3 linked regions of the Saccharomyces cerevisiae S288C genome follow. Each later gene encodes a partner of the first gene's protein in a complex. Each region holds a gene or a part of one and is shown on either strand. Other genes may lie near its edges. A codon is read from its position in the direction of its gene.

Region 1 (2,642 bases):
GCCAGGTTCAGTAAAATTCCCATCGCCGACACCTTTGAATCTATTTATGAAGCCCAAACCTATTGTGTTGGAGAAATGTCCACCAAAAGTAAGTCCAAGGCCAACGCCACCATCGCTGTCGATGAGGCGAAGCGAGGCCTCTATATACACACTACCAACATCTTTGAAGAACCGAACTGTTTCTCCAAGCGTGTATACAAAATCATCCACAGTATCGTCTATCAGTAAGCTGTCATCATCATCACCGTTATCGTCATTTTCAGAAAAACCTCATCTGAATAGAGTCCATTCATTATCCGTGAAAACTAAAGACTTGAAGTTGAAGGGAATTAGAGGACGTTCTCAAACGATCTCAGGGTTAGAGACATCCACGCCAATTTCTAGTACTCGTGAAGGTACTTTAGATAGTACGGATGTCAACAGATTTTCTAACCAAAAGAATATGCAAACAACATTGATTTTCCCGGAGGAGGACTCGGATCTGAATATTGATATGGTGCATGCAGAGATTTATCAACGAACGGTTTATTTAGATGGACCATTGCTGGTACTGCCGCCTAATTTGTATCTATATTCAGAACCCAAACTAGAAGATATATTATCGTTTGATTTAGTCATTAATGTTGCCAAAGAAATACCGAACCTGGAGTTTTTAATACCGCCGGAAATGGCACATAAAATAAAATATTACCATATTGAATGGACACACACATCCAAGATCGTCAAGGACTTATCCCGATTGACACGCATTATACATACCGCTCATTCGCAAGGCAAGAAAATACTCGTACACTGTCAGTGTGGAGTATCAAGATCGGCGTCATTGATTGTGGCGTATATCATGCGATATTATGGCTTGAGTTTAAATGATGCATACAATAAGCTGAAAGGTGTTGCTAAGGATATAAGTCCAAACATGGGTCTCATCTTCCAACTTATGGAATGGGGAACCATGTTGTCCAAGAACTCACCGGGCGAAGAAGGAGAGACTGTTCACATGCCTGAGGAAGATGACATCGGAAACAACGAAGTTTCCTCGACTACGAAGTCCTACTCTTCTGCGTCCTTTAGAAGTTTTCCCATGGTAACGAATCTATCATCGTCGCCGAATGACAGTTCTGTCAATTCTTCGGAAGTAACGCCAAGAACTCCTGCTACGTTGACTGGAGCAAGGACCGCACTGGCCACAGAACGCGGGGAAGATGATGAGCACTGTAAAAGTTTGTCTCAACCCGCAGATTCACTGGAAGCTTCTGTGGACAACGAATCAATATCTACTGCCCCGGAACAGATGATGTTTCTTCCTTAAGGGACAGCATCTCCCAAAAGAATCTTTATGACTATCAGATCTGCAGGCAGACCGCCTCCCTACGCTTCTAAATAGAATGTACTTAGCACTTCTGCCTACATAGTAATTATTCATCATTGTAAGTGTCACATTGCAAAAATCGTCCAATAGACGTTTTCCTCGTTTGTGATTGGCCCTACGTTTTGCGCCGATACAAGCGGCGGCGAAAAGTTAAAAAGAACAATCAATTAAATAAGAACCATCAGTCCTCGTATTTTGTCTTCTGTTTGCAAGCAATGCACCAAACACAAGATCAACTAAGAACGCATCTACAATGTTACGTAACACTTTTACTAGAGCTGGTGGACTATCACGTATTACATCCGTAAGATTCGCTCAAACACATGCTCTTTCCAACGCTGCTGTAATGGATCTGCAATCCAGATGGGAGAACATGCCCTCCACTGAGCAGCAGGATATTGTCAGTAAGTTGAGTGAACGTCAAAAATTACCATGGGCACAGCTTACTGAGCCTGAAAAGCAAGCTGTGTGGTACATTTCTTACGGAGAATGGGGCCCAAGAAGACCTGTATTGAATAAGGGTGATTCCAGTTTTATTGCCAAAGGTGTTGCTGCAGGCCTACTATTTTCAGTGGGACTTTTTGCTGTCGTCAGGATGGCGGGTGGCCAAGACGCAAAGACCATGAATAAGGAGTGGCAGCTAAAGAGTGACGAATATTTGAAGTCGAAGAATGCTAATCCTTGGGGTGGTTATTCTCAGGTCCAATCTAAATGAACAGGCCAGAAATTTTGAAAGGAAATCAATAGGGGTTAACGATTGTCATGGTTTTTTCAGCTAGTCTGTGACCTGTACGAAAGTGAATATCTTATTACATTATAAGTGTATCCATGGGCATCCGCCCAATACAATGCCAACATATCAAACATAAAATTGGCTGATTGCCACTCTCACATTTTTTCTTTATTTATTTACTCAAATTTTGTAATTTTTTGTTAGACATATAATTTTATATCATTATTCTTATTATTCTTATATTTAAGGGAACCCCCCTGGAATGAAATAAGCTAATATAGTATGAGGGAATCCTGTATAAATGGGTTTACCTTGTTATTCTATGCCTCCCTTTCAAAGACGTATTTCTTAAAAACTTCTCCATTTGGTTGAATACTATGAAAAAAAAAAAATCAACTAGAATAGATATGGAAGATAAAAATGTGTAACAAAAAAGAAGAAAAGAGCTGGAGGTATGACAATAGCGCCAATGGCAAACGATTTAGAAGATTTTGAGTCTCTGCTGGAGCCTGATTTTGATGCTAAACAATTTGGTAATGA
Region 2 (5,030 bases), on another chromosome or scaffold:
TATTTTTATTTGGACTAATAATAATTATAATAATAATTATTGATATGTTCTAATATTAATAAATACATATTTATATTATAATATAAATATTCATTTCTTACTAATTAATAAAAAGTTTTTATATTCATTATAATATAAATATATAAATATATATAAATATTTTAATAATTATAATTATATTAAGATATTATAAATATATATTTATTTTTTTTTATAAAATAAATAAATAAATAAATAATTAATATTTTTATATTATAACTTATTTTTATAATAATAATAAGTATTTTATTTTTTATTATATTATTATTTATATAATTATATATATATTAATTTCAATTTAATTAATTAATTAATTGGTATTTGGCATATAATATCAATTAATTGTAATTCTTATAAGAATTAATTAATTAATATGCTTTTTATATAATTTATACTTTTATATTTCTCCTTCCGGGGTTCCGGCTCCCGTGGCCGGGCCCCGGAACTATTATTATTATTTTTATTTATTTATTATTAAAATATAATAATAAATAGTCCGGCCCGCCCCGCGGGGCGGACGCCGGAGGAGAATTATATTTTTATATAATAATTTATATTTCTATATATATATATATATATTATATATAAATATTATTATATATATTTTTATATATATTATAATTATATTCATTAATATTTTATTATAGTGGTGGGGTCCCAATTATTATTTTCAATAATAATTTATCATGGGACCCGGATATCTTCTTGTTTTTATTTATTATTTTATTAAATTTATTTTAATTATTTATTTATAATTTATATTATACAATTTATTATTTCGTTAATACCTTTATTTATATTATATAATATATTATATTATTATAATATATTTATTGATTATATTAATACATTTAACTAATGTGTGCTCTATATTTATTGAATAGTTTGGTTCTTATCACCCACCCCCTCCCCCTATTACGTCTCCGAGGTCCCGGTTTCGTAAGAAACCGGGACTTATATATTTAATACTAAAAATATAACTACATTACTTTTTTAATATATATAACAATATATATATATATATATATTAATTATATAAAATATAATACTCTATATTAAATATTATTTTTATCAATATTTATTTATATATATAATAATAATAATAATAATCAATATTAATTATTTATATATATAAGATTAATATTATTTAATATATTATGAATAATTTAATTAATAAATCTTTAAATATTATCATAAAAATATAAATTAAATAATTTCTTATTTATAATAAAGAATAATAATATATATAAATATAATAAAGAATGTAAATAATATATATATAATATAATATAATATAAAAAATATATATATATATAAATATATATATAATATATAGATAATAATATTTTTATATAATTTATTTTATTATTAAGTAATAAATAATAAAAAAATCAATATATTAAATAATATATTTATATTAGTTCGGTTTAGTTGGTATTTTGTAATGAGTAAAAAGTAATATATAATATTAAATAATAAGTATTGATATAAGTAATAGATATAATAATAATATTATTAATATTTTATATAAATAATATTAATAATATAGATTATGAAAGAGAGTATTAATATCATTAAATATATATATATGTTATATAATTTAAATGATTTTAATATATATATATATATTATATTATAGATTATGATACATTTATATAAATAATATATATATAAAAATTAATTATACTATTACTTTATAATATAATAATATTTATTTATAAAGATATAAAAGAATTGTTTAAAGTTATAACTAAAATATTATATAGTATTCATTAATAATTAATATTATAAATTCAACTATTGTTATATTTATAAATAGAATAATATATTATTATCCTTTAAGATATAACAATAATTATTTAAATTAAATTAAATTAAATTTAATTAATTTTTTTTTTTAATGAATATAATAATAATAATATTATTAAAATTAATATATAAAAAAAAAGTAAAAATGGTACAAAGATGATTATATTCAACAAATGCAAAAGATATTGCAGTATTATATTTTATGTTAGCTATTTTTAGTGGTATGGCAGGAACAGCAATGTCTTTAATCATTAGATTAGAATTAGCTGCACCTGGTTCACAATATTTACATGGTAATTCACAATTATTTAATGGTGCGCCTCTCAGTGCGTATATTTCGTTGATGCGTCTAGCATTAGTATTATGAATCATCAATAGATACTTAAAACATATGACTAACTCAGTAGGGGCTAACTTTACGGGGACAATAGCATGTCATAAAACACCTATGATTAGTGTAGGTGGAGTTAAGTGTTACATGGTTAGGTTAACGAACTTCTTACAAGTCTTTATCAGGATTACAATTTCCTCTTATCATTTGGATATAGTAAAACAAGTTTGATTATTTTACGTTGAGGTAATCAGATTATGATTCATTGTTTTAGATAGCACAGGCAGTGTGAAAAAGATGAAGGACCTAAATAACACAAAAGGAAATACGAAAAGTGAGGGATCAACTGAAAGAGGAAACTCTGGAGTTGACAGAGGTATAGTAGTACCGAATACTCAAATAAAAATGAGATTTTTAAATCAAGTTAGATACTATTCAGTAAATAATAATTTAAAAATAGGGAAGGATACCAATATTGAGTTATCAAAAGATACAAGTACTTCGGACTTGTTAGAATTTGAGAAATTAGTAATAGATAATATAAATGAGGAAAATATAAATAATAATTTATTAAGTATTATAAAAAACGTAGATATATTAATATTAGCATATAATAGAATTAAGAGTAAACCTGGTAATATAACTCCAGGTACAACATTAGAAACATTAGATGGTATAAATATAATATATTTAAATAAATTATCAAATGAATTAGGAACAGGTAAATTCAAATTTAAACCCATGAGAATAGTTAATATTCCTAAACCTAAAGGTGGTATAAGACCTTTAAGTGTAGGTAATCCAAGAGATAAAATTGTACAAGAAGTTATAAGAATAATTTTAGATACAATTTTTGATAAAAAGATATCAACACATTCACATGGTTTTAGAAAGAATATAAGTTGTCAAACAGCAATTTGAGAAGTTAGAAATATATTTGGTGGAAGTAATTGATTTATTGAAGTAGACTTAAAAAAATGTTTTGATACAATTTCTCATGATTTAATTATTAAAGAATTAAAAAGATATATTTCAGATAAAGGTTTTATTGATTTAGTATATAAATTATTAAGAGCTGGTTATATTGATGAGAAAGGAACTTATCATAAACCTATATTAGGTTTACCTCAAGGATCATTAATTAGTCCTATCTTATGTAATATTGTAATAACATTGGTAGATAATTGATTAGAAGATTATATTAATTTATATAATAAAGGTAAAGTTAAAAAACAACATCCTACATATAAAAAATTATCAAGAATAATTGCAAAAGCTAAAATATTTTCGACAAGATTAAAATTACATAAAGAAAGAGCTAAAGGCCCACTATTTATTTATAATGATCCTAATTTCAAGAGAATAAAATACGTTAGATATGCAGATGATATTTTAATTGGGGTATTAGGTTCAAAAAATGATTGTAAAATAATCAAAAGAGATTTAAACAATTTTTTAAATTCATTAGGTTTAACTATAAATGAAGAAAAAACTTTAATTACTTGTGCAACTGAACTACCAGCAAGATTTTTAGGTTATAATATTTCAATTACACCTTTAAAAAGAATACCTACAGTTACTAAACTAATTAGAGGTAAACTTATTAGAAGTAGAAATACAACTAGACCTATTATTAATGCACCAATTAGAGATATTATCAATAAATTAGCTACTAATGGATATTGTAAGCATAATAAAAATGGTAGAATAGGAGTGCCTACAAGAGTAGGTAGATGACTATATGAAGAACCTAGAACAATTATTAATAATTATAAAGCGTTAGGTAGAGGTATCTTAAATTATTATAAATTAGCTACTAATTATAAAAGATTAAGAGAAAGAATCTATTACGTATTATATTATTCATGTGTATTAACTTTAGCTAGTAAATATAGATTAAAAACAATAAGTAAAACTATTAAAAAATTTGGTTATAATTTAAATATTATTGAAAATGATAAATTAATTGCCAATTTTCCAAGAAATACTTTTGATAATATCAAAAAAATTGAAAATCATGGTATATTTATATATATATCAGAAGCTAAAGTAACTGATCCTTTTGAATATATCGATTCAATTAAATATATATTACCTACAGCTAAAGCTAATTTTAATAAACCTTGTAGTATTTGTAATTCAACTATTGATGTAGAAATACATCATGTTAAACAATTACATAGAGGTATATTAAAAGCACTTAAAGATTATATTCTAGGTAGAATAATTACCATAAACAGAAAACAAATTCCATTATGTAAACAATGTCATATTAAAACACATAAAAATAAATTTAAAAATATAGGACCTGGTATATAAAATCTATTATTAATGATACTCAATATGGAAAGCCGTATGATGGGAAACTATCACGTACGGTTTGGGAAAGGCTCTTTAACACGTGGCAACATAGGTTAATTTGCTATTTCATTTTTAGTAGTTGGTCATGCTGTATTAATGATTTTCTGTGCGCCGTTTCGCTTAATTTATCACTGTATTGAAGTGTTAATTGATAAACATATCTCTGTTTATTCAATTAATGAAAACTTTACCGTATCATTTTGGTTCTGATTATTAGTAGTAACATACATAGTATTTAGATACGTAAACCATATGGCTTACCCAGTTGGGGCCAACTCAACGGGGACAATAGCATGCCATAAAAGCGCTGGAGTAAAACAGCCAGCGCAAGGTAAGAACTGTCCGATGGCTAGGTTAACGAATTCCTGTAAAGAATGTTTAGGGTTCTCATTAACTCCTTCCCACTTGGGGATTGTGATTCATGCTTATGTATTGGAAGAAGAGGTACACGAGTTAACCAAAAATGAATCATTAGCTTTAAGTAAAAGTT
Region 3 (3,357 bases), on another chromosome or scaffold:
ATTATAAGATATACCATTTAAATTATTAATTATAGCTATTTTTCATTTATAATAACTATAATATTTAATTGTTAAACAAGGATACTTATCAAAAATAGTTACAATATTAGAATATAACCATTTCTTTTGTGAATTTACTAATATAATTGTTTTAAGTAGTTCTTCAAAATTAGAAGGTATATTTAATATATTTCTAATCTTTTCTAAACATGCTTTATCATCAATATGTATTCTAAAACCATAAAAAAATCTTAAATATTTTTTATCATTTAATTTAATATAAAAACTACCATCTCCATCTGTAAATCCTACTAATCATTTATAAAAATTATCTATTTCTAAATTATTCTTATTATTATTTTTATTATCTTTTTGAACAATAATTAATTTATTATTTAAAGAAGTATGATAACCTCTTTTAATAATATTTATATTTTTAATATAAGGTGATTGAATAGAATATAAATCTATATCTTTATTATATTTAAGAATATTATTATAATTATTATTATTATTATTATTTTTAATAATTAAAAATATTAATAATAAGTAAATATTAATTATTGTTCATTTAATCATTCCAAAAATTTAGGTAATGATACTGCTTCGATCTTAATTGGCATATTTGCATGACCTGTCCCACACAACTCAGAACATGCTCCATAGAAGACACCTTCTCTTTGAATTAAAGCAGAAACTTGATTTAATCTACCAGGAGTAGCATCAACTTTAATACCTAAACTTGGAATAGCAAAATCATGAATAACATCAGCAGCTGTTACAACGAATCTAATATGTGTATCTACAGGTACAACTATAGAAGTATCAGTATCTAATAATCTTAATTGACCTTCTTCTAATAATTCATCAGGAATAACATATGATTCAAATTCAACAGTTTCACCACTATCATTAATAAAATCTGAATATTCATATTTTCAATATCATTGATATCCAATAGCTTTAATAGTTATAGCTGGTGAAATAACTTCATCACATAAATATAATAAAATAAATGAAGGAAAAGCAATAATTAATAAAATTACAGCTGGAAAAATTGTTCAAATAACTTCAATAGTTTGTCCATGTTTAATATATTTATATGCAATAGGATTTTTTGAATATGTTATAACAATTGTATATAACATTCAAGATACTAAACCTAAAATAACTAATAAATAAAACATAATATTATCATGTAATTCTAAAATACCTTCTTGATTTGGTGTTGCTGAATCCTGAAAATAACATGCATAAGGTGTTGGTACATCATTCATAATGAATGTTGTTAATTGTAATCTTAATAAATCTAACATTTTAATAAATCTTAACCTTTAGACTCTTTTGTCTATTTATAATATGTTAATACTACTTTTAATTAAAATTTATTTATAATTTATTATTATATATTATAAATTAAAATAAAAAATATTATATTATATTATCAACCCCACCTTTTTTTATTAAAAATAATTAAAATTATATATTATTTTTATAAATAATATATATAATATTATTAATCATATAAATATATATTTTATTAAAAAAAAAAAAATACTAAAACTCCTTCGGTCCTCCTCCCGTTAGGGAGGGGTCCCTCACTCCTTACGGGATTCCCGCTTCCCAAAAACTAATAATATTCATATCATATATATTAATATTTATTAAAATATATAATATTTAGATTATATATAATATATATAATTTTTATTATTATAATATATTAGTGATTACCTTATTTATAAAGGTATGAAGCAAGGAGTTATTATTTATTATTATTATTATTATTATTATTATTAATATAATATATATATAATATATTATTAATTTTTATTTATACTCCTTCGGGGTCCCCGCCGGGGCGGGGACTTATATTTATATTATTAATATAATATATATTTAAAAATAAAATAGTCCGCCCCGCGGAGGGGGGCGGGACCCCGAAGGAGTCCGCCCCCCTTTTTATTTTATTTTATTTAATTTTAAAGAAGAAGAATTATTTATATTTATTTATTTATTTATCTCCTTCGGGGTTCCGGCTCCCGTGGCCGGCCCCCGGAACTGTAATAATATATTAATTTAATTAATATTTTTTATAGATAAATATACATTATATGTTTTTATTAATTAATTATTTATTTATTTATTTATAATATATATTTAAATATTATATTATATATATATATTTAAAAGATAAATTATATTTATAATTATTTAATGAACATCTATTTAATAATAATAAAATAGTCCGGCCCGCCCCCGCGGGGCGGACCCCGAAGGAGTCCGGCCGAAGGAGATGTGAATCCTGCTAGGAGGAGTAATTATTTATTAATATTATTTTAATATATATAAATATTATAATCATTATTACTTGTAGAAGGAATTGAACCTTACATTATTTATTTATGAGACAAATGTTTTAACCAATTAAACTATACAAGCTCCTTAATTATAATTATTATTATAATTAATACAATATTTACTCTTTATTATCAATATTTATACCTTATTTTATAAATATAAATAAAAGATATTAATTATTAAAATATTAATAAATATATTCTTTAATAATTTATAATTATAATATAATAATTATAATAATAATAATTTTTAATAAAAAATAAAATAATTATAAAATTATAATCTTATTATATAAAATATATAATATATTTATAATTATTAATAAAAAAGATAATTATATAATTAAAATTAATATATATATATATATATATATAAAGGTATTATTAATTAATTAAAAATATTAATATATTTGTTAATTAAATAAATAAATAAATATAAATATTATCTAATTATAAATTTATTCTTAGTAATTAATATATATATAATATTATATAATATAATATATATAATATAGGTGTTAGTTTAATAATATTCTTTATTATATATAAATATAAATAAGATATCTTATACTATATATTATAATAAATTATAAATAATTAAACATAATAAATATAATTTATATATACATATTTATTTTTTATTAATTTATAACATATTAATAAAAATAATAAATATATAATTTCTTTAGAATACTTTTTATTCTCCTTCCGGAATTAATAAAATAAAATAATATAATATAATATAAAATATAGATACTTATTTAATTTATTAATTAATATATATATAAATATATTATTATATATAATATAAATAAATATATAATATAATATAATATTAATAATTATTATTATATACCTTTTTATAAATAATTTAAATATTTATAAAAATATTTTAATAATATTTATAATATAAAATTTATCATTTTATAAAAATTATATATATATATATAATATATAAAATAGTTTCTTCTTACATAAAATATAATAAAAATTATAA

The links.
Region 2: the proteins of COX5A (region 1) and COX1 are in contact, whole or in part, in a cryo-EM structure (PDB 8DH6), measured with the Saccharomyces cerevisiae proteins. Residues at the interface, in NP_014346.1 of Saccharomyces cerevisiae: Ile75 (codon at 1,845), Ser76 (codon at 1,848), Tyr77 (codon at 1,851), Gly78 (codon at 1,854), Trp80 (codon at 1,860), Gly81 (codon at 1,863), Pro82 (codon at 1,866), Arg83 (codon at 1,869), Arg84 (codon at 1,872), Val86 (codon at 1,878), Leu87 (codon at 1,881), Asn88 (codon at 1,884), Asp91 (codon at 1,893), Phe94 (codon at 1,902), Ile95 (codon at 1,905), Gly98 (codon at 1,914), Val99 (codon at 1,917), Gly102 (codon at 1,926), Leu103 (codon at 1,929), Phe105 (codon at 1,935), Ser106 (codon at 1,938), Val107 (codon at 1,941), Leu109 (codon at 1,947), Phe110 (codon at 1,950), Val113 (codon at 1,959), Arg114 (codon at 1,962), Ala116 (codon at 1,968), Gly117 (codon at 1,971), Gly118 (codon at 1,974), Gln119 (codon at 1,977); in NP_009305.1 of Saccharomyces cerevisiae: Leu38 (codon at 2,105), Ala41 (codon at 2,114), Ala42 (codon at 2,117), Pro43 (codon at 2,120), Gln46 (codon at 2,129), Tyr47 (codon at 2,132), Arg333, Leu334, Ala335, Glu407, Lys408, Gln411, Ile412, Trp415, Leu416, Ile419, Asp445, Ala446, Ala448, Gly449, Tyr452, Ser455, Ile456, Phe459, Ile460, Leu463, Asn486, Ser488, Val489, Ile490.
Region 3: the proteins of COX5A (region 1) and COX2 are in contact, whole or in part, in a cryo-EM structure (PDB 8DH6), measured with the Saccharomyces cerevisiae proteins. Residues at the interface, in NP_014346.1 of Saccharomyces cerevisiae: Ala121 (codon at 1,983), Lys122 (codon at 1,986), Thr123 (codon at 1,989), Glu127 (codon at 2,001), Trp128 (codon at 2,004), Lys131 (codon at 2,013), Ser132 (codon at 2,016), Tyr135 (codon at 2,025), Leu136 (codon at 2,028), Lys139 (codon at 2,037), Asn140 (codon at 2,040), Ala141 (codon at 2,043), Asn142 (codon at 2,046), Pro143 (codon at 2,049), Trp144 (codon at 2,052), Gly145 (codon at 2,055), Gly146 (codon at 2,058), Tyr147 (codon at 2,061), Ser148 (codon at 2,064), Gln149 (codon at 2,067), Val150 (codon at 2,070), Gln151 (codon at 2,073); in NP_009326.1 of Saccharomyces cerevisiae: Asp16 (codon at 1,271), Val17 (codon at 1,268), Pro18 (codon at 1,265), Thr19 (codon at 1,262), Pro20 (codon at 1,259), Asp27 (codon at 1,238), Ser28 (codon at 1,235), Asp150 (codon at 869), Leu153 (codon at 860), Glu154 (codon at 857), Glu155 (codon at 854), Gly156 (codon at 851), Gln157 (codon at 848), Leu158 (codon at 845), Arg159 (codon at 842), Arg213 (codon at 680), Glu214 (codon at 677), Gly215 (codon at 674), Val216 (codon at 671), Tyr218 (codon at 665), Lys235 (codon at 614), Glu237 (codon at 608).

What each region holds. Positions count from the first base shown.
Region 1 is NC_001146.8:530,103-532,744, forward strand, and holds COX5A (cytochrome c oxidase subunit Va), read left to right. Parts: upstream 1-1,622; coding exon 1,623-2,084; downstream 2,085-2,642. Other genes in the region: tyrosine/serine/threonine protein phosphatase MSG5, read left to right, coding at 1-1,309; Golgi transport complex subunit COG5, read left to right, coding at 2,557-2,642. UniProt on the Saccharomyces cerevisiae protein: Component of the cytochrome c oxidase, the last enzyme in the mitochondrial electron transport chain which drives oxidative phosphorylation.
Region 2 is NC_001224.1:11,825-16,854, forward strand, and holds the start of COX1 (cytochrome c oxidase subunit 1), read left to right. Parts: upstream 1-1,993; coding exon 1,994-2,162; coding exon of another isoform or gene 2,163-4,498; intron 4,499-4,610; coding exon 4,611-4,646; coding exon of another isoform or gene 4,647-5,030. Other genes in the region: intron-encoded reverse transcriptase aI2, read left to right, coding at 1,994-2,162, 4,611-5,030; AI5_ALPHA (intron-encoded DNA endonuclease aI5 alpha), read left to right, coding at 1,994-2,162, 4,611-4,646; intron-encoded DNA endonuclease aI4, read left to right, coding at 1,994-2,162, 4,611-4,646; intron-encoded DNA endonuclease aI3, read left to right, coding at 1,994-2,162, 4,611-4,646; intron-encoded reverse transcriptase aI1, read left to right, coding at 1,994-4,498. UniProt on the Saccharomyces cerevisiae protein: Component of the cytochrome c oxidase, the last enzyme in the mitochondrial electron transport chain which drives oxidative phosphorylation.
Region 3 is NC_001224.1:71,717-75,073, reverse strand, and holds COX2 (cytochrome c oxidase subunit 2), read right to left. Parts: upstream 1,317-3,357; coding exon 561-1,316; downstream 1-560. Other genes in the region: Q0255 (maturase-like protein), read right to left, coding at 1-579. UniProt on the Saccharomyces cerevisiae protein: Component of the cytochrome c oxidase, the last enzyme in the mitochondrial electron transport chain which drives oxidative phosphorylation.